Styela clava: one gene and its partner. The protein of the gene in region 1 interacts with the protein of each later gene in a pairwise test. Links are inferred from orthologs where the notes say so. Each region holds a gene or a part of one and is shown in the gene's direction. Other genes may lie near its edges. The genes, in order: pumilio homolog 1-like and CCR4-NOT transcription complex subunit 2-like.

Region 1 (16,764 bases):
ATCTAGAATGCTTCGCACAAAAGTCGTGTTCTAACTAGAATATGTTGTTTTTTGGTGGTATATATATATAAATAAAATTGGATAGATCATTACAAATAAAATCCATCAATTATTCAAAAGTGCTAACTTTTTTATTATTCAATGAACTGTAATTGAAAATTTCATTTTTTCAGATTGTCCGAAGCGTTTAGACCAGAAGAAGAGTTGAATGATTTTCCAACACGACGTCTTGTAACTTCCATTCCACAAAATGAGTTTTCGATCAATCAAACTGTGAAATATGCATCTGATGGAGGTTTACCTGTAAATGCAGGTATTTCTAATGTAATAATTTCGTAATGATTAATAATAAATATTGAATACATTTTTAATTATCGGTAAGTGCATATGTCTGAACTTGACGATTGAAAATACCTACTTCACTCATTTCAATGAATGAAAAGTTTCCACTTGTAGATGCAATTTTCACGCTTAAGAATTTCTGCATTGTGGAATTACACCTTGATTTTTAGTTGACAATGTTTTGAGCCTCCTATTATCAACTATCTTCTACAGGCATCATCATCACAGAGAAAAATATATATATGCTGATGCATCAGTGGTCATTTGCATGCAACTCTTCTATTGGTACTCTTTCCGTTTTGATTTCAGGCCTCAGGATTTTGTTTTCTAAAATTTGTATAGAAAATCCAACTAGTTGATAGGTTAAAATTGATATAATCTGGAATGTAGATACTTACTCGAGTGAATTGTTTCAGCCCTCACATATTAGTGGCTGCTTGTACACAGCCTTGTTCAGAGTAAAAGGCATGGAAAATATCTTTAAAATGCTTACTTTTAATTCAAGGAGAGGTATTGTCAGACAGTCAACGTCAGTATCACAAGCAACAACAAATCAAACATGCATTCAATGTGTTGATAAGTGATCGGATTGGTCCTGTTGCAAGACCTGTTCCTGATACAAGACATGAAATGTTAGTATTACAATGAGTTTGAATTTATGTGTTTCTAACGTGAAATTGTATTCGGCAAAAGTTTACAGTGCACTTGAAAATTCATTTTATTACAAAAATTGTTGTGCAGATTTCTATTTGTACTATTGTTTTTATAATGTCCACAAAACTGCTAGTTTTGGAGTTCAGACATTTTATATGAAATGTGATAATAATGTTCCTGGAAAATCTGAAAATCCACTTTTTTGCTAAATAGCTATTTGTTTAATAAAATGTGGATATTCGTTATGGTAAATGTGTTGAAGCAATACACGCGACTTAATGTGACTTAATCTTGTGATGATATCATTCACTAAATTCATATTTTATTTGACAAAACTTCAAAACGAAATCCATGGGCAGATGGGCTATTCGATCTTTTCGTATTGGTATTCAATTATGTCTGTCTAAATACTGCTTTTATTATAATGTCCAGAGGCATAAACATAGTTGGAATCAAGATGAATCACCATGTTTACTCAAATTTGAAATGAATCAGGATATAGATAACCTATAATTATATTCTTTGGAAATGTAATCCTGATCAAACAAATTTTACTTTTTATATATATCTGTTTTTGTTTCTATTCTAGATGTCATAAGAAATCATACTCCAATATCAGTGTCTCAGCATCAGTTATTGTTTGTTTTCATAAAGAAGCATTCTCAGCATTAGTTCGTACTGTTGCATCTGTGATTGAAAGAACTCCACCACAACTTCTGCAAGAGTTAATATTGGTTGATGACTTTAGTGATAACGGTTTGATTACTTAATAATTTATCACAGACAATTTTTTTTTATATGCTTTTCTTTCTTATTTCAAAAAGCCGAACTTTTGTTTGGAAACTTTGAATGTGTTGGTTCAGCACAATTTTTTTCGGTGTAATGGTGAATACTGATGGTTTGTAGTTGTAGATCCTTTAATAAAACTAGTCAATACTGTTATGTACGCGTCATCTCTACTAGAAACAATGTTTTTTATTTATCAAAGCTTCATACTGAAACTACGGTGCTCTAGAAGTGTGTGTACGAATATGGAGGTGACTAATTTTGTTCGCCTAGTTAACATCGAGTTGTGTGAAGCGACTAAAACCTATGGGCTGGGGGTATATTCACTTGGCTAACACACACAGTCCCTGAACTTGTAATAGAACTAAAATAAGGAAAATCGGAATAAAATTATGGCCCGATATGTCCTGTTACACACAATACATGAGTACTGAAACTGAGTACTTGATTTCAAAGGATAATATACGATGTGCTCCCCATACATGAGATACATAAAAACCAGTGTCAAATGTTTCTTCAAATTTGATCCAATGACAACTCTGAAGTGGATAAAGCGATTTTTCGTTCATATGCGCTTCAATCACAATTGTATTTTCTTTGCAGAAGAAGAAAATGAAAAGCTTGTTTCATATTTGGAACAACACTACCCATATGGTAAAGTAAGAGTTATTCATGCAGAAGCAAGGTTGGGACTGATTGGAGCAAGGCTGATGGGAGCAAAAGAGGCCAGTGGTAAGGATGAATATGGAATATATATATAGAATGCATTACCGCATCTTATTATGGCCTTGTTTTCTTATATTTTATTTTAGGAGATTTGGGAGACAATTGGATATTGAATTATTAATTCAAATTTGATTAAACTGTATTTCTCCTAAGTCCCAAGAATTTTTTTTTAATGTTCACCTATTTTGACCAATAGATTTTTATCATTAGTATTTGAAAATGAGTTTTGATTCGTTGTTCCTTTGAGAAACACTTATTACTTATTTCCATATAAAAATGGTTTTGATAGTTTTGCTTCATGCGACTGTCTGATAACTGACGAACTGTAGAGAGATTCAATATTATGATCAGCGTGAGGCCAACATTCTATTCAGTTTTCCTGGAGCGTGACTGTCATTATTATCACCACGAGTTGCACACATAATAGGAAGTAAATTGCTTTCGCTCTAAGATCCTTGCTTTGACATTCTTGTATCTATGTTATATGAATAAATGACTGTCTTATACCAAACTTGGGCAAACTACGGCCCGTGGGCCAAATTTGGCCCGTTAGGTAGTTCAATCTGGCCCGCCCGATGCCACAACCAAACTAAAACCAAATTTTGATGTTTTAGCTAAAAATAGCTCAAAGAATTTGTTGACATTGCGATTAAATTTAGTTTTGGCTTATTGTTTTCCACTTTTGCCTTTGTAACACTGTAAATAAAATTCTGTTCATAAAATGTAACTTTTACTACGGCACACTTGCATGGCTCGCCAGTCTAGGGGGCAAACTTTTTGGCCCCTGGTCCAAAAACCTTGCTCACCCCTGGTCTATACCAACAATTGAAAAAGTTAAAGGAAATTCCATCATGACCAGTCCAAAAGTGATACATTGCCATGTAAATTGTGGTTACATCTTTTTCTACATTATTTTTGTAATCAAAACAATTTGAAAAAAAAAAAATAGTACCTAAAATATTGTCTTATTTCTAGGTGATGTGCTGGTGTTCCTGGATTCTCACTGTGAACCCAATGTTGGTTGGATTGAGCCATTATTGGACATTGTGCAAATGAACAGGTATGTGTAGGAAAATATTAATTCAGTGTACGGTAAATATCATTCATGTATATGCATAGGAATCTATATTATCCCAAATACTGTGTATCAAATATTTTTTTAGTTTCCGATACACTATATCAGTCAATGTTATCACTTCATCCAAGGTATGTTATATTTAAGGTGAAAGTACTAACCAGATATCTACAAGTCATTACTGATCTTTTTTCTAAAACTGGATGTTTGCCACCCTAATAGTTCTATGGCAGGGGTGCACAACCAGCGGCCGTCATAGACTAAATGTGCGGCCGTGATGATGTGTTTTTTATCTGTGAAATAAGCACAAGGCGTCATTACCTAGAATATTTTTTGTACATGTGATGTCGTTGACGTACTTACCTACTTCAATTCATAATATTTTTTGCGACACCATCATCTTGTCGCGATTTCACAAAAAGGTATTGAAGTATACTGTAATAAGGGAATTTATTATTTAGGAGTTAGCGCTTGGCTTGGAATATATGTCATTCATTTGAATAATACAAACCGAAAAAAAAATATTCGACTGCCCCTAACAAGTTTTCTTCAGTAACTTGTTCAAATTTCAACATTTCATGTAAATTTATGACTAAGCATGACCAAAACTAGGTATTTTTAAAATATCTCACAATGATGTGAAAATCTATTGATATTTATGATTACGCGTAATCTATATTTCAATGATGTTTGTCTCATAATCCCAAACCCGCAGCCTGTCCTTATTTTTAGATCCACTGTTGTCTGTCCTGTAGTAGATATTATTAATTCCATGACGATGTCATATATCGCATCACCTGTTTTACGTGGTGGTTTCAATTGGGGTCTACATTTTTCTTGGGAAGATTTACCCTATATGGTTGAAGTGAGTATTATGTTTATTTAATGTTACCATATTTCTACCCAAGAATTGACAAAATTTAATAATTTACTATTTTGAATACATTCTGAAATAACGTTTTTGATATGGATTATTGAATAGGTTCTAAATTGAACTGTGTTCAACACAGGATGTGTACAATTTTTAATTTGTCAATTAGCAGGGATTGGACATTATGGTGCAATGAATTGAACGTTAGAATTGTTCTGATCTTCCTATTTTCTACAGTTATTGAAAGTTTAATAAAATTATGTTTTCCAATCGTCAATAGCTCAAGATAATGCATTTTCAGATTGAAAATATACTAAATATTTCTAAATCAAAGCAATCACTCTATATAGATGGTAACAAATTTAAATGTTTTCATTTCATTTGGGTGTTCATGTTTTTACCTCAAAATTTTAAAAAGAATGGTTGTGAGAGCATTATGTTTATATTCAATATCTGCTAGAACATGTTAATATTTGATCCAAATAGGCAAATCGTTTAAATAAAACATTAACTAAAAAATTTTTTCACATTTTTATTGACTGAGCCCCAATGTGAGAAAGCTAGCTATCAATCTAACAAAAAACCCAACACAGAGAGACTACAAAATTCTTCCAAATGACACCTAAATAGTATTTTTTGCGTAAACGGCAGACTGTATAAGGCGTCTTATATCAGAGCGAATATCAAGCTGTTTGGAAGCTAATTTGGATTGATAACTCGCGTCTGGTTTATATCAAAATTGGCATTCACAGCCCGTTTAAAATGGGTTTTGGTACAACACACTGAAATAGACAAATCGTCAGTATCACTACTTTGTTTACTACAGACGACAAAATTGAAATCGATCACTCGAAAATTTTCATTCGAAGACTGCCTTTGAAAAAACAAATTTCGATATCTCTCTGTATCATCGACACCTGCAAAAAGACTAAAAAAAACTTGTGATGATACCTTAATGGTGTTGCTATTGCGTTTGAACGACGAGAAATAAGTCTTTTATTAGAGATGTCAAAATTTCAGACTGATCAAAATTTCAGACTGATCAAAACAAAAATTGCTTGTCCACATTATGCATGACCCGAAGTTTTTCACCTGAATAGCCAGATTTTAATGCACATCTGTTTCTTGTACAATAATAACTGCTAATGCCATGTATTTTGATTTCATACACAGGATCCATCAGAGCCCTTTGCTTCCCCTACCATGGCTGGAGGATTGTTTGCAATTAATAGAATGTATTTTAAAGAGATTGGTTATTATGATGAAGATATGAAAGAATGGGGAGGTAAGCTTTGTATAATGTGGTGAATTGCTGTCATGAGGAATGAAATCTTCATATTCTTCCTGAGCAAATAGATTGAGTTTTATGTGAAGTGTATTCTTAAGTGCCCTATATGCCACAAAGTGCCATTTGTAAGATACGCAAAGTATTATTTTAGTATAATAAAACAATATAGTTGTTTGTTATCAATATGGTCATCGAAAATTTCTCTTATTTTATTGTTTTGTAAATACTTGGCTAAGTAAAACAACTGCCTTGGCTATTGCACTGGTTGTTAAATGTTGTCTCCGGTTTGAATCTTGTTTTGGAATGATCTTGAATAGAAACAGTGGTTACAGCATCTCAATTAGATTCATATATTCACAATGACGCTCTTTTCTAAAAAGATTGATTGAAACTTGATCATATTAATGATCATGAATATGGCACTAGAATATTGTGTATTGAACTGCAGGTCACTTTGCTTACTTCTATTTTGGATCCACATGACTTGTGTCTGTTGTAACAAGGATGATTTAACAAGATAGTATTAAAAAATGAGAGTAACATACCTAGTATTTTTCCACGAGATAGTTAGAAAAAGTTGTAATTCATATCTTAATCTTGATTGGTCTGAAGTTAGACTATGATGACTTAACATAAGCTCACTAATATAATTGCTATTTTATGACAACCGATTATGTTATTAATATTTGCATAAATGTCAATTTTTTTCTTCATGAATTTTCATTTTTAATAGGAGAAAATCTGGAATTGTCGTTTCGGTTATGGATGTGTGGTGGAAGATTATTAATAGCTCCCTGTTCTAGAGTTGGACATATATTTCGAAGACGACGTCCAAACTCTATACAAGAAGTAAGACATTTAAAAACTAGCCTGATTCCAGTGATCTTGATTTTCTGATGCATTTGTGAGGAAATAAAGAATAGTCGTTGATGCTAACTTGTTGTCTTCTTCGTTGGCAGGTTGATAATCCGACAAGAAACGCTGCTCGTGTCGCAGCAGTTTGGCTCGATAATCACAAAACAAATTTTCTTGAGAAGAGAACAACAGCAAAAAAATTGGATTATGGTGATATTTCTTCACGAGTGAAATTGAGGAAGGATTTAAAATGCCACGACTTTGACTGGTAATTTCTAATTTTGTTGATCTCCACATTAAATTACAACCAAGCATGGTAAACTAAAAGAAAAACTCCATATACCACCCAGGTAGGTTCGATACAGGCAAAGGTTCACTAAAAACTTCACTTTTTCTGTAAGTCAAGCAAAAATGGAAATTATCATCATCATAATAAGAATTTGAATTATTCTTCTCAAACTGCATTTTTTTCACGTTTGTTTAGGTATCTCAATAATATATACCCTGAGATAGAAATACCCGGTAAAAGAAAGAGCAAAATCAAATACTATCGGCCTACATCAATGGACGAATGGAAAAATATCAAGCGAGGCCACATTAAAGTCACTGATCTTGATTTATGTCTCCAAAGCGATGAGGAGAAAGGATCGCTAATAGTTGCGACAAAATGTGATCCAACTTCTTCATCTCAGTTATGGAGAATGTCAGGAATGGGTATGTAGTGTTGAAAGAATTTGAACTTACTTTGAAAAGGCGATTGGCCAACCTGGATTGACTGGTACCAAATCATTGGAAAAAAGTTATTCAGTAATATAATAAAGTTCAATCTTGTCTTGTGTCATTAACAAACTATGCATAGATATCATAGGCAGCCCTTATGATTTCTGCCTTGATAGTTATTGATGTAATCTATTCAGGTGAAATAAAATTTGGAAGTGAATCAAGATTATGTATGGATGCTGGAAGTTCTGAAAACCCGAGGTTAATGAAATGCAACGGAGAGGAAGGAACGCAAAGTTGGAGTTTCTTTCCTAGAGTTCGTCAGTTTTTTATTTCATAGAATATTAATCATCAACATGTGTTATTCATAGCGTTTATTCATTGATATATATGGCCTCATAATTAGGGCACATTGGTGATTATTGTCAAGTAGGACATCGCAATTTATGCTTCATTTTTAGGCAGCATGCGCTTTGATTCTTGTGTAATTTAAACTCGATCACATTTTCGTGCCACCTTCATAATTTGGAACTATGTGTTGTTTTGTGACGGCATTGTTCTTACCATACTTCTATTATTGCTTATTAGATTTGGATTTGCACCGATCCTTTTACATTATCGATACATCTGGTTGTATTATATATTATTCTATCTACTCTTTGGATTGATTTAGGTGCAATTTTTTTCGAATCATGGTTTATACTTTAGTGACACCTGCAATGAAACCTTATTTATTTGCAACATTCATCTTTTATTCTTCACATCTTACATCAACTTGGGCCTTCCATGATATTTTTGTCAAATTAGAAGATTTTGTTTATTATTTCCAGGATAACTTCTCAAAACATGGCGAGATAACCGGTAGATTGTACAGCGCTTCAGAAGGTCTCTGCCTACAATTAAGTGGAGGAGATTTGAAAGAAGAAGAATATGAACTTATTATGCAAATATGCAGCAGTCCGTCGGTACAAACCTTTACAATGCAAACATAATCTAACATGATACAAAAGTACTTTGGAAAGATACAAAATATATATTATATCGTGATTTTAACATACAAACAAGCAAAGCATTTTCCACCCTGCACTTACCTGATTTCCATGTCATTGATCCCCACTATCTTGGAAATAGTCTTTGTTTGTGATTCATCGAGGTGATGTGTACTTTATATCATTCAACATACATATTGGTTACTCTCTTTCATTCTTGTATATTCAACTCTGATGATTTTGAAATATTTGGATATCTATCAAAAGTTTCTAATTATTTTGTTCGTCGTGTTATATTACATTTATAACATACGGGATTCTTTCGTTTGTTGACTTTCTTTTCAAAACTGGTTTTTAATTGTATTGAAAGATTGTTATGCATTTTTATATAGATTTGGAATCTTTTGGTAGAAAACCCTGTGCATAAATTTTAAATTATACCCGAAGCAAAACATAGCTAATTAAACCATTTACCTATAATCAAATATCTACTTCATTGCGTAACATAACAAATTCAATTTATCTATAAACAATATGCCTGAAACTAATAAGAGGTTGGTTACACGAAAGGTTTTTATGCAAAACTATTAGAAGTATGAATTTTTCAAAATGTAGTGTTTAGTTTTGATGACACAATGATAAAATAGAAGTCAATGATTTCAATGTTGAATTACGTCTATGAACAGATAGGTAATTCAATGTGATACAGTGTGTGAACCAATAAAATATTGAAATTTCACAGAAATTTAATAGTTGTCATGGAGTGATTTCATGCAATCCTTGTTCAGAGGCATTTGTTTCTGTAATTTAAATTTTTCAGTATAATTTTGTTATAAAACTTCAATTTTTTTCTTGGCTTTATTTGAAATTGCTTCTGCTAAAACAGTAACTTTGTTTGATATGTCTTGTTGGCCGGCATTACTGCCACCTTTTTTATGTATTTGTTGAATATGTGGGTATTTTGTCATACCTTCCTCTTTTACAACATATATTTTCCCAGTATAATTGTTTTTGTATGTTGGAACAGTCTTATGAAGTGCCCACTCATGATCCTATCGCTATTGATTGATATTAATCCATACCGTAAGCTAAAATTTTATCATTATCTTGATTCAGCACTGTGAAATGATCTTTTTGTAGCATTTGATGATTTTTTTATATAAGTTTCATCAAGATTGTGACAGTCACTGGGATGTCTTGCCTTAGCATGCTTTTCTCCTATACTCATGAGATAAATTGGTATATCTTACACGACATGGCCGGATGTTATGATTTCATTTTTTTTTTGTGGTATTTATGATTATAGAGAGCTAAGTAATCCTGCAATGTTTCTGTGATCGATTGTGTCAGCATTTGGCAACCAGAGTAGAATTCTGTATGCACATCAGTCGTTTCTCCAGGTGATGCAAGCTTCACATATATTTAGGAAATATTGCTAAATTGAGTTTGCTTCGTCTTCACATTTAAGTTTTTTTATGAGAGCTCTCCAGTTTTGGAGGTGTTGGTCAGTCTGTCGGTAGTTTATTTTTCACCAAAATGAACATACTTTTGATGCAAACAAAAACTAGGAATGGAAATGGCATTCCAGGGTGAAGGGTGCCACGAAAAAAACAATGTTGGTTATCAAGCGGCGACACCCGTGATAAAAGTCCAATTTTGATACAGGTAGAATAGAAAGAAGTCCAACAAATATATGTAATTAAGAAGATTAATGTCTAAAAACAAAACCCGTTACAAAAAAGAGACTCCGGACACCAGTGGGCTGGTAATGAACTTGAGGCAAGACTAGGATGTAAGACGTTTGGAAAATAATAAATTAGAAGGTTAAGATATTGCAGTTACAACGATTCCCACTACGCCGCAAGTTTTGTCTAATAGGGAGGACTGCGGAATTTCCAGTCTGCCCACCCACGATTTGAAAAACGCTACTTGTTGCACGTGTACCGGTACCGTTGGTCCGCATTTCTTTGAAATCTTAATTCCAGCTGGATTACGTTATTAGAAAGTAATTATTGGCATTATAGAACGTAAAACTAATTTGTTATCCTTCAAAAAGCATGTAACTCTTTGGCGAGAATTCGCGTTACTGCCAGGTGAGCGTTGAGCCCATTCGCGGCACACGTGTTTGTTGTTCTCATTCGTCACGTGCGACGGAATTACCCACAATTCATTTCGGCGAAGGAACAACAATGACGGGTACCTGGACGATGTCTTAGTTTTAATATCATTTTTGATCCAGCGTTTGCCATATTATTTCAGGTATGTAGCTATCTATTTTTTATCCAACATGGTTATGTTGTGAATATTTGTTTATTCTATCGGTTCAAATGCGATTATGGCTTACTTTTTTTATACTTGGATTGCTGTTTCAGATCAGCCTTTATGCAATGTAAACGCAGTCTCAAACTTTGTTTAGGCCATTGTAAATAGTGTACCATGCAAAGACCTGGCAATGTTGGTGGACCAGGGGGAGGAATGTGGCCAGAAGGTGTGCCAAACTTTAATTTACCCCCAGGACAATTGCATTTGAACAGACTTGCACAAACTGCTGGGGTAAGCTTCAGATCATACTTTCTGCTAAATTTCAGATTCATTTTTAATTAATATTTTTCTGATGTAGTTAGAGTTTGCATGCTCGCTATTAACAGTAATACCGTAACAGCAGGTAGCTTCGGATGAAATTTTCAATCGTTTATATCTCGACTAAATTGGGTCATATTTTGCTTCTGTCAGTTTCTATAGTAAGTCCTTATATATGTAAATCTGTTATCATATTCGATCGCGCAGTTTAATTTATTTTTTGATTAAAAAAATCAGGTTTCACTATAAAATTGACACTCCGTTTTCAAACAGTTCAAATCGTGACGCCTACTGACTGGCTGAATCTAACTATGCAAAATGTCGACATTCGATAGAGGGCGTTATCAATGTATATAGAAAATTAGACTGATCGCGAGATGTCGCAGGAGACATAAAAAAATTGAAATTCGAATAATTTTTTTATCACAATAATAGCATCTGACGCACACGTTAACTTGACGTCACACTGACATCGCTCACTTTGAAGACGAAGTCATGCTGCGTCGTCGTTACGGATTTTACGCCAGACATTCAGGCGCCGACGAGTTGTCGTAGATTTGAAATAACAACGATCATTTGTTTGATTGGTTCAATTGCTTTAAGCCAGCGATTTAAGCCGCTCGATAATGGAGTGTCAATTTTTTGCTAAAATGTGCTTTTTCAATTAAAAAATAAATAAAAATGCGCGATCGAATGTGATAACAGATTTAGGTATATATGGACTCACTATAGAAACTGCCAGAAGCACAATATGACGCAATTCAGTCGAGATATAAACAATTGAATATTTAATCCGAAGTTGCCTGGTTTTACGGTAGTGCAATATACAGATATAAAGTTAGAATTTATACAGTTATGACAGTGAGTGGAAATTCCTCCTTTACGAGACAGTCTGGGCCTCTATATGGGCTCAAACCGGCACCATGCAATAAGAAAACGCAATCTAAAAACGTCGCCACTGAATTACTCTTTGATTTGTACCATAGCATTCGCGAGTTTTCCTTTTAGATTGTTGACAAGCAGTATGCCACAGTTCTTCCATTCCTGATTAGCAGCTATATTATGCAACATCAAGAAATTAATGTGCATCTTTGAAGCAGGAAGCTCGATGCGTGAGAAGAACACATGATGCACACGATTAACTTACATAATTTGTGCAAGAATAATTGGATCCAATGTCATAGTTATGGAACAATAAATAATTTTTGATATCATTTGTTAGATGTATTATCAAGCCCTTTGTTTTATGCTAAAAAGGATTTCCAAATTAAAAAAATTGCACCTTACATTGAATACAAATTTTTAAAACGAAGGTGTATCATGATGTTAGCAATGTAAATTCTTATTTCAGATTATTTCCCAAGACGATCCCACATCCATGTATTCCCTCACCAATCCTGCTTCGACAACAATAAATAACCACTCACAAACATCTTGGAGTGGTGTCTCTAACTATTCTGTACGTTTTATCGATTGTGCATTTATGTGTGTGCATTGTTATATAGCGATACATCGGTAGTCGAACATATTTTTTTTTGGATTTGTGTTAGGCTACAGATTTGTTAGACTACCAAAACTTCTTTTGCTATAAGAAACAATGATAATTATTTTAATTCGTTCTTACGCATTCCAAAATATCTAAAATATTAACAAAACGTGTACCTGTAGAACAATAAATATTTAAATGTGTACATAATGAGGATTGAACATAATGAAGATAGAACTATAAAAAAGCGATTAGTTGCTGTACATTTGAGCTAATTTCTGGCAGGGGAAGGGGCTTTATGGGATTAGTTTTTTGTGTGCAATAACTTCATCTCACTCTGCGAGGTGTTCGAGCACCGAAGTATTTTTGACGAGAATATTTTGATAGACTACCGAATCGTTCGAGTATCGAGGTATCACTGTATATAGAACTAATGCATGTGTTATACAAGATGCGAATAGATTGCCTTAATTCATTTCCATTCAATCTTTAATTAAAAAAAATTCTCGTTGGACCTAAAATGGTGGAAAAAGAGTTATAAGCCAGTCTGCCATAGATTCCATTTGACAAAATTGGAAGTTATTCCAGGAAAATATTGATCTGTAGGCCCCTAAGCTGCAAATGTTGTCATTTCATAACCCTACATCAATCTTTGCACAAGTTCCTGCAATTTTGTGTTCTTGGCTATATTGGTTAAGTGAACAGTCATAACTAATCTATGATAATTTCAATCTTGCATATACTTTATATCTTGATTAATTTTACTATTTTTATGTTTATTTTACTTTTTTTTGTACTGCAATCATGCATGCCTGGTCCATTAACTAATATTGTGCAAAGCGTTTTTGTCTATAAGAAAAAATAATGCTCGGCTTTTTGTCCTTGGCTCCATATGGAAAAACTTATCAATTTAATATCATAAAATGACTTCCCAATCTTACTGGCATGTGTTATTTAATTTCTGTCGGCTTTACAAATAATCAGCTTTTATACTGTTTCGACATTCAAAAAGTGCGCTGGCATAGTGCACCAATCATCAGAGTTAGCTATGATGATATCGCAGGGTCGAAACTCCGATTTAAACGCCATAATCCATATAAATGTGTCAACTAAAAAGGATTTGCTCTGTGTATTTTATATCACTAGTTATTGCCATTTATATGATATTTTAATTTATTGTTGGATCTCATATTTGCAGAATTCTGCTGGTACAAAATTGTGGAACATTGACAATGGAAATTCAACAGGTGGAACTTCTGATCGAGCTTCATTACTAGGTACAAAGCAATGGGGCAGAGAATCAGGTGGCGCTCCATGGGGCCAACCAAGTCCAACAGAAAAAACTCCATCAAATAATCCATCTTTACCAATGACCTCTTCAGCAAATTTACTTACAGGTGATTGTAAATTGAGGGTTTTTTAATCAGTGGTACATCTCGATTGCTCCAACACAAGCAATAAAAGAATATCAAGTATGATGTAATTCCTACTATTTTGTATCTTGAAATGCTTTTTAGACCCTCTTGAAAACCCAGGTTTTCCGGTCGGACCCATTAGATGTTACAGTCCAATTTGGCTATTAGGAATTTCAGAACCCCTCCCTCCCTTAAAAATTCCTAACTACACCCCCGTGACCTTGCTTGGAGCAAATTTTGTAATGAAAATGAACAATTTGGTTTTACCGCCCATTCATATTCTAGAATTCTTATATGCAATCATTTTCATTTTAGGAACAGTCTGTTTTGTAATAAAACCATCTATTATGTCAAATTTTCTCAAAAATCAATAGTTTCACCTGAAGAATATTGAACTATATATAATTTATTGAAATTTGTAATGCTCAATTTCAGGCAGCTTCAGTACATCAGACTCTGGAAGTAATCCTATCGGCTTGGCAACACACTCGTCTGCTGCATTGGGATTCAACATTGCTGATTATGTACTTGGTGGTTCTGTAGGTGATACATCCAGCTTGATGAACCAGTCTGCTTTTGTAAGATGCTGTTTCTACTTCTCATTGTTATTTAGCCATTTAATATCCTGGCCTATGTCGAACGGACACCTGATTAGCGCATATGTTATTCTTATTTTTTGTTGGAATTCATAAAAAGGGTTTGAATGAAAAAGTCCTTGTCGAGAGGGGAGATTACACCCTGTTTAACAACTTGTAGCCTGCGGAATATTTTGATTTATGTCGGTTTTAGTGATTAAATAGAAAAAAATAATAAGCTTGTGATTAATCCCAAAATCTGTATGCTAATTTCAAAACCCTTTCAAAACTGATGTTTGTTCAAATCGGTGGTTCTCAAACTTCTATGATCTACGACCCCCTTCTATAGACTCGCAGCACTTATGACCCATGGCTTTATTTGAAAAGTACCCAATTCTGAATTGAACTTTTCATTAAATATTTTATGCACAGTTGATAATAAAAGCAAACCAACAAAAGCAAAGGAATGAATGCATTACTTTCAGTCACAAATAAATAAAAAACTATGGCAGTTTTACTTTAATCAATATAGCCATGGGGAATGGTACCTAATGTAGGCTTCTGTTTATAGCCAGCAGACTACTATTCTATGGGCTCAGTTCGAAAGTAAAGAAAAAACCGCCATAATTTGGTATATCTCTGTCTAACAAGCATTTCTTTCAGGCGTCTGCTCTGGTAACTAGTGGTGGCAACAACAATGGTGCTTCAAACCCAGTTTCTGGCCAAATGGGAAAGTTACAAGGAGTTAGTTCCGAGCAGAAAACATCCAGTTCAGAGAGCACAAGGTATAGGATTTTGTTCATACATGATTGTTGGCTTGAACATCCTGTGGAGAAATGAAAAAATTGTTTTCTTTTGGTAGAACTGGAAGTAGCCGTGACAATTCTCCAACAGAGGATGAACTTAAAGCACACAGGCTGTCTGCAAATCAACAGCAATTACAATCAATCTTGGCTCAAACAGTTCCTTCGGCTGTTTCCAGTAGTGCAACAGTACAAGTAACTGCAAGCAGTTCTCAGCTTACTGATCAGACTCCTCAGAGTCAGAATTCAGATTCACCTGAAAATGCATCTGCTGGTGAGACTAATTTTTTTGATGGTATTTTCACCATTATTTTAATATTTGTTATGGTTGCTATGTTCACAACGATTATGGAATACCTGAGAGGACTTATGTAGCCTTGAGACAATCAGAGTCGCTGTGGGTGCTATGGAGCTGGGGCTCTTTTCGGCTAAACTATTTACAAAACACTAAACTGACAAAAATTTTGACTCCACTCCATAAACATTCTGGTATATGCAAGCCTAATAAAGATGCTTTGTTAACTTCTTAATACTTATCATACTTAAGTTATGGTCGGAAATTTTATTATTGATAATCACTATTGGAAGTCTAATTCTGGCTTCAAAGAATTCAAAATTTTGATTCCCGACTCCTGCTCCGATATCAATAAAAACATCTTAAACCTCCGACACCACAGACCTGATCACTTCTGTTCGGCTGATGGCTGGTAGAGGGACTTTTTAGATACTACTTTCTCTTCTACTTTCAATATATCTTGTCCCAGTACCTAAATATCCTATTAATAGTTGGTCCTTTCTGGTAGATTAATTCAATTTGATTTTCAGTTTACAGAAGCATGGACAGTTAATGTGCGATTTATTTCTAGCGAGATCAAATTGGAAAATTTTCATAATTTTTTATTATTAGGTGGAAGTATAGCAACAGTCACTAGTTCATCTGACAATACCGGAACCACAGAACAGCCACAAATGAGCACATTTCCTGTTGCTGGTGATGTTGAGTTTGGTCAGTCAGAAGGTCAATCTACGAACACATCTATTGATGGAGTTTTGCAACAACAGATGAGTCAACTCAATTTGGATTATAACGCTCAACAACAAGTACGGTTTTCATAATTTTAATCTGATGTAGGATTTTTGAAAATAACTTCAATTTTTTGTAAAATCATGTATGATTTTATGAATATTCGCTTGAAAACGAAAAATCGTTCAAATTTAAAGAAACTCGCTCAGCAAAAATGTATTCATTCAAAAAACAAAGACTGTTGACTGCTATGAACATTGTCGTGAAAGTCTATCAAGTATTTTAAGACTATCAGATAACAATTTCTTCAGCTGTTAATTAAGATTATCAAGGATTATCGTAACGAATAAAAAAGTTTTGCAGACAACCGAACTACTGAATTATCAGCTTCGTTGGTATATACTGACTGAATCTCTTATGTATTAAGCGTTTAAACATTTTTATTCAAATTAGCTATTACTCACTATAGTTTCTGCTTTTCAATTATTATTAAACTTCATTGATGCAAAAATCTATGACACCATAACACCGATATATAACATATGGACTGATGTGTTGAGGTGATTAGGATGTAT
Region 2 (16,523 bases), about 7.6 Mb from region 1:
ATTCTTGTATTTATAATAAATCCTAATAACGTATATATCAAAATGAACCTACTCATGTTTATGCATTGCTAGCACATAGCCCTGTTATCAGCTATTATGTTTATTATTAAACGTGTTGTTATGTGTTTTACGGTAGTTCGTTTACAATACCAACAGTTATTTAAACGTGGCATGGCATGTGACAAGATTATTTTGAAAAGTTTAGTACTTATTCTTACTTGAGTTCTGCACCCCTGATCTACTACTAGTTGTGCCATATGATATTGCAGAAAGTAAATTAGTATTAAAACTTTGTAAAACTTGTATCACAAGGAAAGACATCATAGTCTATTTTGCTCCAGGTACTCAGTTTTATTTAATATCACTGCAAAATGATATTATTTATTGTCAAGTTTTAAGAATTTTTTAAAAAAAATTTACTTTCTGAACTTTGAAAAAAATAAAAATAAATTTGTATTTTTGACAACTTCTACTTACTTATATCTTGTGTATATAGTTATATTATGTAGCCAAAACTGTCAAAATTTAATTGTGTTAAAATTTTTTCTAGAGATGAAATAGGACAATATGCAATATATTGCCATCGTGCCTTGGGGCGAGCTCTCACTTGTGGACGTCGCACTTCTCCACCATCTCGTACTGAAACCATTTCTATATTATTGCAAAATCCATATCAACATTCATTGCCATTCAGTATTCCTGTTCATTTCTGCAATGGAAAATATGAGGTTCCTGTTTTTTACATTCTTATTCTATTAATTTAGCATATCAGGTTATTGTGGCATCATGCTAAGCATTAGCAATACACTTACCATCGCATCTCTGACTCAGGGACGTGGTCAGGAATTTTTGAAGGGGGTTTCTGGACCTTCTAATTGTCAAGTTAGGTCGTAACAGCCAGCCAAAATGGGGGTCAGACTCTGGGTACACCCCTGCTTTTACTACCCTACGAGAGTTTGTACGTTCAACTATGTGAACTTGCAAGAAGATTTCTAGACCTTATCGCCTTAGGTTAGTTCTGCGGTTAAGGCCTTTCTCCACAGTCTAGTCCATGCGTCTGAAACAAAAAATTGACTGACTAATCCCATACCCGGCATGGACTGATAACCGGACGAGAGGCCGTAGTTCGTCATATGATTAGCCGTCTTAACGGCTTTTCCTTCCCCCGGAATGAATATGTAAATTTTCTTGTATAATAGGTTGTTAGTTACGATGCATCAACTGGAGTTGAAGAATTCACGAAACGTGCTTGTCAACAAGCTGGATTGAGAAGTTCTGCTTTTTCTGGTTTCGCACTTTTCACTGAAGATCCTCTAGATGATTCGAACACGAATCATCTTGTCTCATCTAATTCAAAGGTAAAATGAAATCTTTGGGGGCTCCCGAAGTATGCGAACCAAGATGGCGGACATCGGAATGTAATATGTGTACTAGGTTAGGGTTAGGCCATAATTTTAGGTATAAATACTACGGGAGGATCTGGGCTAGTCTTCGAACTGATAATAGGACTGAAATAAGGAAAATCGGAAAAAAATTATCGCCTAACCCTAACCTGTTACCCATGTTACGTTCCGATGTCCGCCATCTTGGTTTGCATACTTCGGGAGCACCAATCTTTGAATATATGGAAAATGGGTGACAATTTGAGATATGAACAAATTGTGAGAAGACAAATTCTAATTTGGTTGACACAGACCTAATTTAACTGTAACATATACCGTAACTCAAATTTGTTACGGAAGCATGCATTGTCTGAGTGTGGTTATCCATCTTCAGTGAGATGTATATACAACATGAGGATATTAAATTAGAATGCGATTTATGCATAATATCATATCAAATTGAAGCGATATGTGCTGATGTGAAATTGAATTAAGAATTAAGAATTAAATAAACCTTCTAAACACAAATTTAGCATGGGATGTTTGACCTCAGACTTGACATTAGAATTTGCAACTGAAGTATTAGTCTTTTGCATGTCCAAAGTTTGCATTTGGACATTTGCATGTCCAAATCGGTATAGACAATGATCTGAACTAACGCAGCCACTTGAAAGCAATTCCTTATTCTGGCCCTTGGTTGAGGAAATTACGACCTGGTATCGCAACTCCAAATAAACTAGGGCCTACTAGGAACACTTTGGCATATGCCTGCCATTTTTAATTCGTTAAGAATGATTAGTCAACTTCACGCTTACTTTGTTACCGTCAGAGATTTTAACTTTGATTACAACCAAGGAAGGTCTAAATTTTCGACTCATTACGACTTCTGTGTTATAAAAACATCCAAAATTTAAAGATTCCACATTACTGTCACCTCATTGTTAGCGATTGGCGATGGTATAACTTATTTTGTCATCACCAGCCCAGTAGTTATTATCCCTTTCTGATTTGATCTTCCTAAAATTGAATTTCAGATTTGTGATATCATATCAGAATGGGAACGTACTTATCGAGAAACAACTTCTAACAAGGTTATTGATTCATCGAGAATGGTTAAAGTAACTCTTTGTCAACATTTGTTTCTTACGTCAAACCAAGATGGAGAAACCGAGAAGGAAAAAATTCTGATTGCTTATCAGGTGAAAATTCTACAAATAAATATGATTCAATAATGCTATTATTATAACATAACATTTTATGATTGTCTACCATGAATAATTTTCATTTGGACTAGAAATGTGTGAATGATGAACTGGCTTTCAATATACCTATTTGGGTGTGTTAACCCAGTTGTTAGAGAGTTGGAACTAGCGCTGTTGGTGTTGCAGTTGAAAGATCTTAGCTTGTTAGTTAGCACATCACACTTGCTATTATGTTCGAGAGGATTGATGAACTCCTTGCCATTGTAGGGTGGGTCACTTGGCCAATTATGGTCCATGCATTCTAATTGAATCACTAACTATTTTCATACTTGACATTGACTGGTAATTGGTCGAGGCCATGGATCGTCTTATAATTAAATCTTTTCGTCGACTTTCCTCTCCATCAGGATAAATATGACAAATCATATCCCAGGGGTGGGCAAATTAGGACCTGCGTGCCAGATCCGGCCCATCTGTGTCTGCTGAATTATGTTTTTTTTTTTTTTGGATATAAATTTCCATTGAAAATATTGATGAAAATAACGTCATAATGAGCCTGATTATCATATTGTGCTCCTTATTATTATGTAATATAGTTATATATGTTTGACTAGCTTTTGTAAATAAATTGTTTTTTATCCATAGTTTTTCATATTAAGTTGTGAGCCTCCTGTAATTAGCCCACTCGGAGAAGTAATTTCCCTACCCTGTCATAACCAGATACAATGTCCACCACCTAGTCCTCCCAAAAACAGCAGTTCTTTCCCTGTTGATGGCTTATGTCTGTTGTAAGGTTTCACAATGGATCAACAAAATAAAATGAATTTAAACCGTAGTCATATAAATATGCTATGTTTTTAGGTTGCAGATGAAATTACATCAGATCGCTTTCCTGTGACAAGAGAACTTGCAATTGAACTATCATCAATATGTGCTCAAATGCACGAAGGAGATATGAGAACTGCTGATCACAGCATTAAAGATATCTTGGAGAAATTTTATCCCAGAAGATATATAGATAATGCTAACAAACAACAGCTAAGGTAAGCTTTTGTAGTGATAATCTGTAGCAAATTAACTTTATTAGGAATTAGATGGATGTGTATCTTATGTGGTAATAAAGAATCCAAGAATCCATGGTTATTTTTCGTCAAAATTTTTTTTGATATTTTGTACTTCCATTTGTCTCTTAAGATTATTAAGTAAGTACGGTAAGTTTATTTCGACTCCATAATCAGCAATAGACGATAAAATAATTGATAAAAACAAAATAAATAAAACTGATTATAGAATCGGGAAAACAAACGAAACCTAAAGTAAGGTTTAAAGCGTACAGATTTTAGGTGGAAAAGTATTGATAAATGTAGTAGTACTTGTTCGCTTAAGATTATTCATCAAGTTTATCATTATAGTTTAGGTGATTTTAGCCAATATTCGACTCTAGTAGATTTGAGACCTATTTATCAGATTATGATTTCAATCAATATTTAAAAGGAAAGAAATATATTTCTCACGACTTCTAACCTCAGGATAGGCGTCCCAAAATGCCTTGCTCTTGTCTTACCACCAATTGTTTAAATCCCATTTTACATGTTCACTCTGACCTAGACTTTGAGTTTTTGAGTTACTTTCCGGTTCAACTGTTTAATTCTTTACAGCAGTGGTTCCCAGACCGCGGCCGGCGGGCCAATTACCGCACGTGTAACGATTCAATATGGCCGGCTGAACTTAAGTGAAATAGTTTAATACTAATATGTTTTTCCTTTTTACGTTCCAGATAACCGCCAATTGTTATGTCATTATCACAGTTTAAGCATGTGTATATCCGTAACAATTAGATTAACCGGTAACCTAATTATACGTACCGGTACCGTTATCAGCCCGCAAACATCTCTCTGCTTCTAATTTTGGCTCCTTGTCAATCAACTTTGGGGACCACTGCTAAACACAGTCCCAACCAATTTCTCTTTATCGATACTTATGACCAATGTTCCCTCTAATTTTTGTAGTTTGTGTGCGCAGAAATTTTGGTGTGTGCGCACTTTTTTGGAAATGACTAATATTTGTGCAAAAACCAAGGAAGAAATTTTGGTGTTCTAACCGGGTAATAAGTGGGCTTATTAAGAAAATTTTGGTTATTCAATTTTTCTATAGATTGTAAATGCTTCAGTAAAGGCTATGTGTTATCAGTAGATAGCAATGAACATACATGGAAAATAGCAAATGAAATTGATTGTAACAGATGGTTTTATTTGAATTCAAATAAAGGGTGAAAAAAGAACCTTGTTACATTATATCGAAATACGTCTGTGCGCAGTAAATCTATGCGTGTGCGCAGCCTCTGAAAGCTGTGTGCGCGCGCACACCTTAGAGGGAACACTGCTTATGACTTACTTTATTTGCTTCTATAGACAACTTCGGGCAAAATTATGTGAAAAATGGACAATGTTGAAAAACACTTCACCCAGTGAGTGTGCCAGAGTTATTTTAGCAACTACAAGGAAATGTACATTGTATGGAGCAAAATTATTTCAGGTAATAATAATTTATATCAGTGAATTTAGAAGCAAGAAATTCACAAAATGTACATCTCCATGAAACTCATATTTATAACCTCAAGTCAGGGGTGGGCAAATCACTGCCCACTGGCTGGATCTGGCTCACTTGCATCTGCTGAAATTACGATTATAGAATTTATGTATATAAATTTCTTCGTCGTAAAAACGTCGATGAAAATCACAATATAATGACACCCGATTGTTACATTGTGCTGTTAATATTATATGATCGTTACCCTAGCTGTTGGACACCTGCTGTAAATGAACTATTTTTCATTCAAAGTTTTTCATACTGAATTTTAAGCCTTCGGAGTTCGGACCAGTAATCAAGTCTTATTATCTGTAACTGGTCTACTCAGAAAAGTAATTGCCCACTCCTGCATTAACCCTTTTTGTGCGGTGGGCACGTATACGTACCCACGACAAAACTCGCTAGATTGCGGCGGGTACGTTGATGTACTCCACTGTTTTATACAGCAATCGGTCGCAAACTGTTGGTCTAGTTTTTCCGGGTTTTAGTTTGTTGATAAGAAGTCTTCATCGAGATTAACCCAAGCGACGGTAAATCTCGCTTTCGTTTACCATGGGAATTTTATTTGCGGCGGAACGAGGGAGTGTTTTTGAAATTTATGCAAATTTCGGTATTTTTTGGGTGGTAATAGAAGACATATTATCCCTTCCATCTACCAAAGTATTTTGAGTTAGATAACGAAATTGCTACAGCAATATTATGCTATTGTTTGCCAACCAAGAAGCGGTAACAGTAAAGGATTTAGCGAATATTTCTATTTTTTATCACGGTTTGAAGTTTCAACACCCAAGAAAAAAAAATGCCTTTTTTCTATCCGGTTTGTGACTCAGACCACCCCTTTTGAAAAAAAAAAAATTTTTAATCGCCAATTGCAAGCTCTTTAAATAAGCTTTCCAACGAGACGTCAGTGGGCAGCAGAGGATCATTACTTTTTCGTTAGTCGATCGATTAGTTGTGGGGGTACAAATGCATAAAGTCGGCGTAGCAAATACGATTATTTAATAAAAAATAAAAATCGCATGGAAAGGGTTAAATCTATATTCTAATTTTGCATAGAAAAATCATCTGTTTTTGGGTAGTAGCCATGAAATGATGCTTTTTCTATTGTTTTTAACAACTGGTTTTAAAAAATATCAATGGATAATGCCTTTTTTGTTATTTTGTTAGAAATGAGAAATCTGATATTGAAAACAGAAAAGAAAATAGGAAAAAATATTTGAGAAGTGTCTCAGTATTCTTGATTTGATGAAATTGAATCAAATTTTAATGTAGATATTACTGAAATTTAATACATTTAACAATACATTTTTAATACTTTTTCATCTCTCGTGTAGAAATATATTGAAAGATCTTTCTGTTTCTTTTCGCAGGTTGAAGTAAACAGAAAACATAATAAATTATCAACAATATGGTTGGCAGTACATGAACATGGTGTTAATGAATTGAACTATGTTACAATGGTTTGTATTTTGAACACTTTATTGTCAGTGATTTAAATCAGGGGTGTGCAAGCTGGGGCTCGTGGGCCTAATGCGGCCCTCAAGGAAAAAATTGTGTGGCGCTTGGAGAGGTGCCAATTTTGAATGATGTGCGACCCGTGAAGGAGTTTTTAATTTAATTTGGTGTCTGCGAGTAATTCCAATCTTTTTGCATTGAAAAGCCTATACCCGAGTCCAATTTATTATCTATGCCTATGACTTTACAATGCCGTAACAGCTGGCTTGTGCAAACAACGCAAGATCAATAACCAAATTTTTGTGCCTGCAACTAATAGGTAGCCTATGCTAAAAAAGATGCGGCCCGCAGTTTCACCCAGTTATTTGTATCTGTCCCTCTTGTATTAATAAAGGTTGCACACCCCTGATTCAAATTATCATTTCTTATTTTACTAACAACTGGTCTGATTGAGTGAATTAATATTAAGCTGTCTTATGAGTTTTAAATTTGAAGCGAGTAATCATTCTTATACTTATATAAACATGCATATTGTAGGCCTGTATTTGTTTCTTTTTGTTGGGTTATATATGAAACTTGTCTTGAAAAATGAAAACGAAATTTTATGTCAGATTTTTGAAACAAAACAATTTTTTTGACTTACTATTTTTTACAGCCCAAAAGGTGCACTTTAATTCTTTAATAACCTATTGTGTCTTATAGCCCGGTGCGCCTTATGTATAAATAAAAACCCAATCTAAGCATTTATTGACATGCGACTTATGGTCTGTGGAATGCGGTAGTCCATATTTTCTGGTCATCTTTTTTTTTCTATATTCAGGCCATTGAAAACACTTACAAGTACCTAAATATCATGACATATGGTGGATGTGACAACAGATTCATGATTGTTGTTGAAAAAGAAGGTGTTCCTGAAAAGCATTTCTACTCCATGTCTAAGGAGAAGGTCTGATTGTTTTAATATTATTACTGCACTTCAGATTGATATACCAAGAACAATTAAAAAGACTGGCTGACCAAAAAAATAGGGTCTTAGTAGTTCTTTTGATTGACTTATAGTCCATCTGTCTTCAAAACTTCTGTCATCATTACTTTTACATCACTTGACCTGGCTAAATTTTTTCGCATTTTTGATAATAATTTAATAATAATTAATTGATAAAATTTGATAATACTGGAAATCATAAAAAAAAATACTTTCAATGAAACCGGTGTGCTTGTATATTTTTGCACTAAAGATGGAATTATAAATTAGTGTCAAAAAAGATTTTACCGTGACCCAAATTGAGCTTTTTTGCGACCCACCGGCGGGTCGGGAACCCTAATTCGAAGAGCTGGTGAGTGTGACAAAATTGACTATACGGAGCACACCAGACGAATGTAGGTCCTTAGTAGTTTTCTTTGTATTCTTTTCTTTGCCATTTTAGAAGTGAAAGCGTTGAATGCCCCATACAAACGTAAAAGTAAAGTTGCAGTATCATTGTCCAGATACTGCCACTTTGGCATGTATGCTTTCAATTATCGTAATATAAAATCCGTTGCTTTGCAGGCATCTGAGATTGTTCATCTGATGACCGAATACATGAAAGTATTCACCGCAAAGAAGAGATATATTCCATGATGCTGCTAAGCCAACTAGTATTAATCATTGATATTGCATTCTAAAATGGGCGTCAGCTATTAGGCATGTGTAGTATTGGAAGATGTGAAATAAAAATGAGTCTTCTAGCTGGAATAAATGGAAACCGTCTGCATTAGGATGCTCATCTTGGAGCATGATATTTATCTCAAGAAAAAGGAATTGGATTTCGTATATATGGAGCTTTACACTCTTTGTTAATAATTACTGAGTATTTAGGAAGGATATCAGAACCGGGATCATTGGTGTTTTTGATAACTTTTCTATTGTGTGAGGGCCACCAGGAAAAGATCTTGTTTCAAAATACTCGCAATTAGTGATATCTTTATATTCATAATGATTTTTGAAATTAATGCTGTTCATCATGAAATCACTGATTATTTCTATGGAACTTTCTTGAACAATAAGTTCCATTTTGGTTATTTGAATTCAAATTTTCCTGAGGGGAATCTTTTGAATAATCCCTACTCACAGTATCAAATGTTGTGGTTTTTGAATTTCATATATTTTTTTTTCATTTAAACTGTATACTATATTTTATTTATGATGCACTTATTGATATCATTTATAATTTTGGTGTTTTAGCAGCTTGGTGCAACTTGAAGCATGGTTCTTAATATTTTTGATCCTTATATTATTTCTTATTCGTCAACATTAGGTATTTGGAATTACCTCTTCATTTAAGAAGTAAAAGAATCGAAAATTGAATTTGTGCTATGTTTATAATTTTGTGGTAGACTTTGTTAGTTGGAAATGTTAGTGGGGCTTCCGAAAGAGTTTTGTTCAGTTATCCTGGTAGAGAGGAAAAGTGATAGGATGGCTGTTGGTCCGGCAAAAGCTCTTGCGCCAAAGACTTACGTTCCTGAGAGCCTGTAATGGCTGTCACTTTCGTTTGCCGAATTATCCTCCACTAAGCGCGCTTTCATCTATACCTGCTTGAGCCACGAAGTCTAGTTTCAATTTCCAGGAAAATTGATGCGTCACTTTGTTGGCATTCACTTCCTAAGCGAAGAAGCCTCCAATATTCCCAATGAGGATTTTAGTAAATGGATTGCTCAGCTAGTGATTATGAAATTTCTCTGGTATTGTGTGAATTCCAGAATGAGTTTGTTACCATAATTTGAGAGAAAAAAGGTTCAACCATGGCTTCTTGAAGTTCATATTTACTTGTAAAAAGATTCTACCATTTTGGGATTCTTACATGCTCTGCGAAGGCGTTGACGCATTCCACAAAAACTAAAGTAATGCAAAAAAAAAAACGAAATACGGTACCGTACTGCCTTTTCCTTGGATGCTTCGTAAGCAAACCCCTGGAGCATATTTTATAAAATCTATCTTTCATGCATTGCCAGTGGTAGGAAAGTATTTACATGTTTATCTTGGGGGAGAGGAAAGTCGATGAGACGGCAAACCACGGCCCCTCTTCTGGTAAGGGATTATTCGATGAATACATTAGTTTTATTGATAGCTGCAGTAGAGGGTAAAATACATCATAGGTAATAATTTAATCGAAAAATTAAACATTTCAAAATGACGAAAGAACAAATAACCGGCTATATATTCCTAATATCTGTCCTAGGTTGGAAACCAAATTCAGAGAACGTAGTTTTCAGTATGTGTAAGGCCTCATAATGGTTCTTCGAAAAATCTATTTGAAGATTTCTCATTTTAAACTCATAAGTAATCGAAACAATCACTGAAATCATGCTAGATATTTAGTCCAAACAGTTTAGAAAAAATGTTGAGGCTTTAATATAAGGACATTTGTAACAGTAATCAGCCCTGTGTAAAAAGGTTCATGAAAATTGACTTGTATCTCGAGAAAGTGGGATGATAGGAAATGATTGAAACCTCCGAAGATTCGGAGTGTTCGACTTGGTTTTCACCCTTATGTCTTGAGATTGTCAAGTATATAAAATGGCGTAGCATGGTTGTTAAAATTTTAGTCGGTAAAAATTGATATTTGCACTCAGATATTTGTTCGACATTAAACGAAATAATTATTCGTTTATATCGAGTAATATACATTTCCGCGTTCAACGTTTTCCGGTAAATAATGAATCCGCGTCGTTTTGCCCTCCAGTGGTAAAAACAATTTCTTGTATCCGACTGTGGGTATTTTGTCAACTAACCCAGGGCCAGAGGCAAGATCGCTTTGTTTGCAGCTCTTACATTATTGTTTAGTGTTCTATTCCGTCTCTTGTGGGAATTTGCTGGTGTTTCATCATTTTGTATGTTTTATTCTCCTAGTTGACGATATTTACATTGTATCTATAGTTGTGCAAGGCACATGGAAAACTAATTAGTACAGTTTCCACAATATGTTCAGTTCTGGTTTTGGCAACACGCCAAAGAAGAATATGGTAAGTTGTTTTTTTACTTGAAATTTTTGATAAAATCATTGAAGCTATGAATTTGAAATTCTTTATTAATGTGACACTGAACTATTTCTCAATCTTATTCAATTATATAAATTCATTTCTAAGCTCTTTGAAGATAACGACATGACAGGAGGACTTGAAAGCATGGGGTATCTTAACTCTGGAAGTTCTGTAGCGGACGTAAGTAATTCATGTCATATGTTAGTCAAAGATTCAATATTTTTAGTTTTGATCTAACCAAGGTAAACAGTGCATTGGTTTAACCATTGCGGCATAATTGCTAAAAACTCTCGAATGCTGCTCGTAAAATTTTTGTCTTTTAATTAGATAATTTTTTTACAAGGAATCCAACGGTGATGTTTTTAGATTGGGCTTACTTTTAGATTATTGCGCAGTGTCATTTCGCGGTGTCTCTGAAAGGAGGGGTTTGCACTCACTGTTATAATTGATGTCTGTAATATGGGGGCTATTCCTGGAATCGCAGAACTGTGCCTTGCTGATGTAGCAGCCCATGAGCCCTATATCTGTATATTGAAAAGGCTATTGAAATAGCGAATGGAACCAGAAGTGAAAGTATTTTTGTTGCAGAGTGATTCATGTGGCCACTGGTCTGTTTCGACCTCATCCGCTATCAGAGTATGACTGGAATTGGTGACAGGACAAGAAACCTTGGTCCACCATATGATAAAGCAGTCTCTTTTTTCCTGTGATAGATATAAAACAATATCTTGTTTTTAGTTTTCCATCCTTGTATCTGGTTGCATAAAATGTTGTATTTAGCAAACATATTAGAACTTCATGCAGCAAATCTTAATCAAATAAAACTTCAATCGCCGCCATCTAAACTTAAATAACAAATACATCTCACTCTAAAAAATTTATTGGTTATAGATTGTGTTTGTTTGATTTTGAAACTTTTTTTTTTTTGCAGATGTTAGGGCAGTCTCAATCTTCACAATTTTCTCCATTATATGGACAGCAGAGTAAGTTAATTTCGTCAAAATTCATAGCGTTTCTAATCGAATACGAATTAAATTATCGTAAAAAAAATTTTTTGATGTGTGAATGCTACATGATAATTTACAGTTACTACTTCAAGCTGTGATACTTGAACCTGTAGGATAAAATGACATTGAAATATTCATTTTCTTTAATTTATTTTAACAGAATCCAATACAATGGGAGGTTTGGGTCAATTTGGTCGGAGTTTTTCAATACCAGGGAATTTAACACCAACAAGTTTAGGAGGAGAAATGTTAAATCAACAACAACAACAGCAGAACAGGTTCGCTCAAAAAACATTTTCACTGATTTTTTACACATATATTTTATGTCTTTTGCTTGGAACAAGGACTTATACAAGCAGGCCCTGATATGTAAGTCTACTATTTTCAGGATCACAATCTTGTCGGGTCGGCATTGCCTACCCATTTTATTACACCCTGGGTGAGTTGGTGGGTGTGGGATTTGAACCTGAGACTTGTTACCTGTGTTTCCAACACAGTTGAGTCTAAGGCTTCAACGCAACGGTTTCCAAACTTTTTGTTCGTGTGGTGCAAAATTATCAGGGAAAACTCAAAACTCAAGACGCACTTACTCGAAAAAATGCTGCTTTCAAGTAAAACTCAGTTTTGTGATCGTTTATGTTTACTCCATACCTTTGCTATAGCAACTTTGATTTACGGGAACCAGAGCTCTGAGAACAAAGAGCCGCATGTTGCCGATCGCTGATATAGAATATAATGCAGGAGCTTGTTCCATCTATGTGTGACCCATATTAACCTGATTCAGACGCCCAATCGAGCCCAATTTTGAATAGATTTTTATTAATGTCATACGACCCCCAAAATTTACCCAATATACAATAATTATATACCATTGGAAAGGTATTTTAGAGTACTATACGCTAGATGTCACTGGAGGACCGTAAACTAAAACACCTCTTTCAAGAGGTCTCTCGTAACGTCAAAAAATAACAAAAATATTTACACTCTCTCATTCTATCAGCTGTTGGACGTCTATACCTATTGTAAAGCTGAAATGTAACTATACAGTTGACTGCACATTGGTTTTCTCTTTCATATGATACTAAACGCTTTTCCATAGCGCGCAATGTTCAAGCGTTTTGGAAATTTTCCGTTTGAGAAGGCACCACATCGAATCAGGCCAGGCTAAGCTTGATAGATCGATCGGTTGTTTGTTTGTGCTTTATCGCGTTGAAAGCTTTTGTGAGTCATAATAAAACATTTATTATGAATCATAAAAGCTTATAATCGTCAGACAAGGAGAATTTGCGAGATAAAAGCCTAACTTTTTTTTCGGTGAGGCAGCTGCGATCAAACGACTCGATATTTTTATAACTTCCTGACGTTGTGAGATGTCCACTCTCCTATGTTATGTAGCATATAAAATGACCTTCAAAATAAGACCTTATCATACTAGCTTTTGTTATTGGTTAGCGCGCAACGCCAAGGTTTATGGAATCATTTTCTTGTTGTGCGACGTTTTTATATCGCAGCGGGAAGTACACGCGTGATATGTAAGCGAAATTTTATCACTTCTAAATGTCATATAAGGTTCATTCTCATATCGTTGTGTGGGGAATAAGATTTCCTTTCAAGCAAGACCATAACAAACATTCCAGACCTCATGGTATACACACAGCATTGCAAAACGTCTGAAACGTCGCGCATGCGTCAAACCGGGAGGATTAGGTTAAAGAAAGATTATTTTCATATATTTTTTTGTTAAAAGAACTGATCAAAATGGTATATTTTACGCAGGGGTATTCCGCCAATGTCAAGGAGTTCTATGTCGATAGGTCCACCCAACCTTCCAACATCACAAATGAATAATAATTTGTTATCAAGACAAGGTATGAGTCCAACAAGAGGAATTTCACCAGATATGCTTTCTTTGAAACAAGGAATGAACAGGGGAAATAATAATTTAATTGGTTCAAGGTAAGACTAGATTGATTAGGATTGGAATGTGTTTATGGTAATATATTTTATTTGAAAATTTTTTGTTTTGTTTCAGGAATCAATCGTTTCAAAATACCCAGGTAAATTTTACTTCTTTTTTTCGAATATGGTTTTTTGAATGCTTAGTATATATACATATTAAAATATCTGGAGATAGAATGAAAAATTATTTAACTTGCAGTATGTAAAACTATTGTCTTTGAAACATATCCTTTTCCTGCTTCAATGCTCTCTTATTTGTTTATTGTATTGGTATTATTCAAATTCAGTTTTTTTATCTTTTTATAGGTGTTAAACCCTTTGTGGTTAGCTCAATTAAAAAATCGCTATCATTTTAAAACTTATTCAAGCATTTAGATTCCCAGCTTTTTTAACTTTAATAATATTTTAAGGCGTTAAAAATGCAAATTACAATATCAAAGGAATATTCGTTTTTAATATGTTTGTTAACTTTTTGGAAAGCCAATAGATGAATAGAAGATATATAGGGTGTCCATGAAGTCTTGAAATTTTTTAAAATTGCAAAGTGAATTTATCATACACCATATATTGTTTTGGCCCTCACAGATGTATTGAATGAAGTAAAAATACTCGAACTTGAAATTACTGATTGATAAACAACAAACCTGGTAAAGATATATTGAGAACTGACTCCATAACAAAATCGAAATTGTAAAGAAACTTTATGGCAATTCCATGCCTTCAGTCTTTATCATTGCTATATTTAATGCACTGAATTTCTCTGTGTGGCATGAGATTCCAGATTAGAATTCCCGAAGAACGGTTTCCATTTGTTTAGAACAGCGGTGTGCAACTTGCGGCCCATGGACCAAATGCAGCCCACAAAGAAAAATTGTGGGGAGCCGCGGAGAAGTGCCAATTTTGAATGGTGTATACCTGAGTGCAATTTATTATATATACCTATGACCTATAATGCCCTAACAGCTAGCTTGTGTGAGGCGAACAATGCATGTCATAAGATCAATAACCAGAATTTTTGTGCCTGCAACCACTATAAATCTTATGTTAAATAAGTATTATTCTCTCCAGTCATCAGGTATGAATGCAATAGGAAGTGAAAATTTATCTCAACTTCGACAACAGCCTCAAGGACCAAATGGTTCATCAGGAATGCTTGACATTAGTGAATTTCCTGCTCTCAAGAGCGGACCAACTATTACAAGCCAAATAACAAATGGTATCTCAAGTGAGTTTGATGCCGTAGAAAATTCTTTCAATTCATCAATATTTTTCCTAGTTCTATTTATTTCTGTGAAATTAATATTGAATTATTCGGGAGTATTACCCTATTTCGGCATTTGGTTACCATATTTTACGGACCATAAGTTGCATTGTAGATAAATTGCTTAGACTGGGATTTCGTCCATAAGGCGCATCGGGCTGTAAGATACAACGGTTTTTGAGGAGTATGTATTCTACGAACCATAAGGTGCATGGTCAATAAATTGGCTAGACTGTTTTTTTTTTCCATACATAATGCGCTTAGGACTATGAGACGCAAGTTCACGCAACAGTTTTAAGGAGTGCCAGGTTATCGTACAAAGCTTATTAAACAAAACAAAAAACACGATTCTTTATGAATATTTATTTTATATAAAGACAACGTAAAATGGCGGTCTATTTATAAAACAATAATACTGTTATTGGTTTTGAGTGTAGGCGATAAAGCAATAGTTTTTTAAGAAAAAAAAAAAGCGTGTTTATGGTCTGTAAAATACGGTACTATTTCATTGCTTTTTTTTTTACACACTTGGGGTACAGTATAAGTCTCTTAATAACCTGGAGTTACGATTCTAAGTCCAGTCACAGTTTATTTGATCGCTAGTAAGATCAAGACCTAGCAAATTTTAAAGTTAGAGTCCTAAGTCAGGTCATTGCCCTCTCTAGCCACTAGTCAAGTCCGCCGAGTCATATAGATCACTTTACCAAAATTAAAATCAGTAACTCTGACTATCTAATATATCTCTACTTATCACTGACTTCTTGCCTAAAAGATTGTTTAGAACGAGAAATTATGAAACACGTTTCAAAATATCAAGTTTATTTACAAACTTTGTTATTTAGATCCCTTCAATCTTGATCAAGCTGAATTTCCAGCTTTGGCACAGAGGGCAAGACCTATTGGATCACAACCATCTGATTCACTTAATTCAAAGCATCCTTATGGTAAATGAAATATTCACATATTTGGATCTTATAACGACATGCTTTCATGTAAATTCACAACTATATTTTATTGTTCAAACAATGCTCATTTCTGCATTGACCTTTTGTAAAAATGTCTCATTGTTTGAATTTACTTAGGTATGCTAAATAAACCTGGTGGAAATTCTGAATTTCAAATACAAAATGAGGATTTTCCTGCTCTTCCTGGTGCAGCTACTGCATTGAATGTTATGAAGCCGTTGTGTAAGTTCTCGATTCTTTATTTATTTAATATAGGTCCAACTATTTGAAATGCTAACTATTTGGAAAAATATTATGTTGATAACATCACAAATGCTTTAAAACTGCTTATTCTGTTTTCTATTGGTTAACTTTTACCAGTGTCAAAGAAATGATAATTTTAAGTATTAGTTTAATAGCATGATTTTTTGTTAACATCTCGAATTTTTGACATGATAGGGTTTTAATGTTTATACACTAAGAGAAGAAAATTAGTCACATGGAGAACCACGGCCTCTTGTGCGGCTGTATACCAAGCCTATGTCTACTACTTCGTTAAAATATTTCTGCTTGTATATCTTTTTCAAAAAAAACACCAATTAAATGGTAATAACTAAAAAGTTTGGTGAGCCGAATTTCAAAATGTATTTCATATAATTCACATTTTTATTTATGCAAATCCTATGTATTTATACAAAACAATC

Evidence for each region.
Region 2: the proteins of pumilio homolog 1-like (region 1) and CCR4-NOT transcription complex subunit 2-like interact in binary tests that used the Drosophila melanogaster proteins (3 or more experiments, as listed by UniProt). The link is inferred for Styela clava from reciprocal best matches to the Drosophila melanogaster genes pum and Rga.

Annotation. Positions count from the first base shown.
Region 1 is NC_135255.1:4,099,004-4,115,767, forward strand, and holds the start of pumilio homolog 1-like, read left to right. Parts: upstream 1-10,407; 5' UTR 10,408-10,565; intron 10,566-10,722; 5' UTR 10,723-10,742; coding exon 10,743-10,859; intron 10,860-12,237; coding exon 12,238-12,345; intron 12,346-13,570; coding exon 13,571-13,769; intron 13,770-14,222; coding exon 14,223-14,365; intron 14,366-15,025; coding exon 15,026-15,147; intron 15,148-15,224; coding exon 15,225-15,439; intron 15,440-16,072; coding exon 16,073-16,266; intron 16,267-16,764. Other genes in the region: polypeptide N-acetylgalactosaminyltransferase 11-like, read left to right, coding at 174-313, 848-974, 1,586-1,752, 2,386-2,514, 3,484-3,568, 4,316-4,448, 5,628-5,739, 6,476-6,591 and 4 more. UniProt on the Drosophila melanogaster protein: Sequence-specific RNA-binding protein that acts as a post-transcriptional repressor by binding the 3'-UTR of mRNA targets.
Region 2 is NC_135255.1:11,667,274-11,683,796, reverse strand, and holds the start of CCR4-NOT transcription complex subunit 2-like, read left to right. Parts: upstream 1-10,396; 5' UTR 10,397-10,588; coding exon 10,589-10,630; intron 10,631-10,753; coding exon 10,754-10,828; intron 10,829-11,579; coding exon 11,580-11,631; intron 11,632-11,815; coding exon 11,816-11,933; intron 11,934-13,431; coding exon 13,432-13,611; intron 13,612-13,687; coding exon 13,688-13,712; intron 13,713-14,682; coding exon 14,683-14,839; intron 14,840-15,717; coding exon 15,718-15,819; intron 15,820-15,957; coding exon 15,958-16,062; intron 16,063-16,523. Other genes in the region: pleckstrin homology domain-containing family H member 1-like, read left to right, coding at 551-728, 1,200-1,358, 2,417-2,581, 3,446-3,627, 4,996-5,119, 6,544-6,633, 7,449-7,574, 8,178-8,249. UniProt on the Drosophila melanogaster protein: Component of the CCR4-NOT complex which is one of the major cellular mRNA deadenylases and is linked to various cellular processes including bulk mRNA degradation, miRNA-mediated repression, translational repression during translational initiation and general transcription regulation.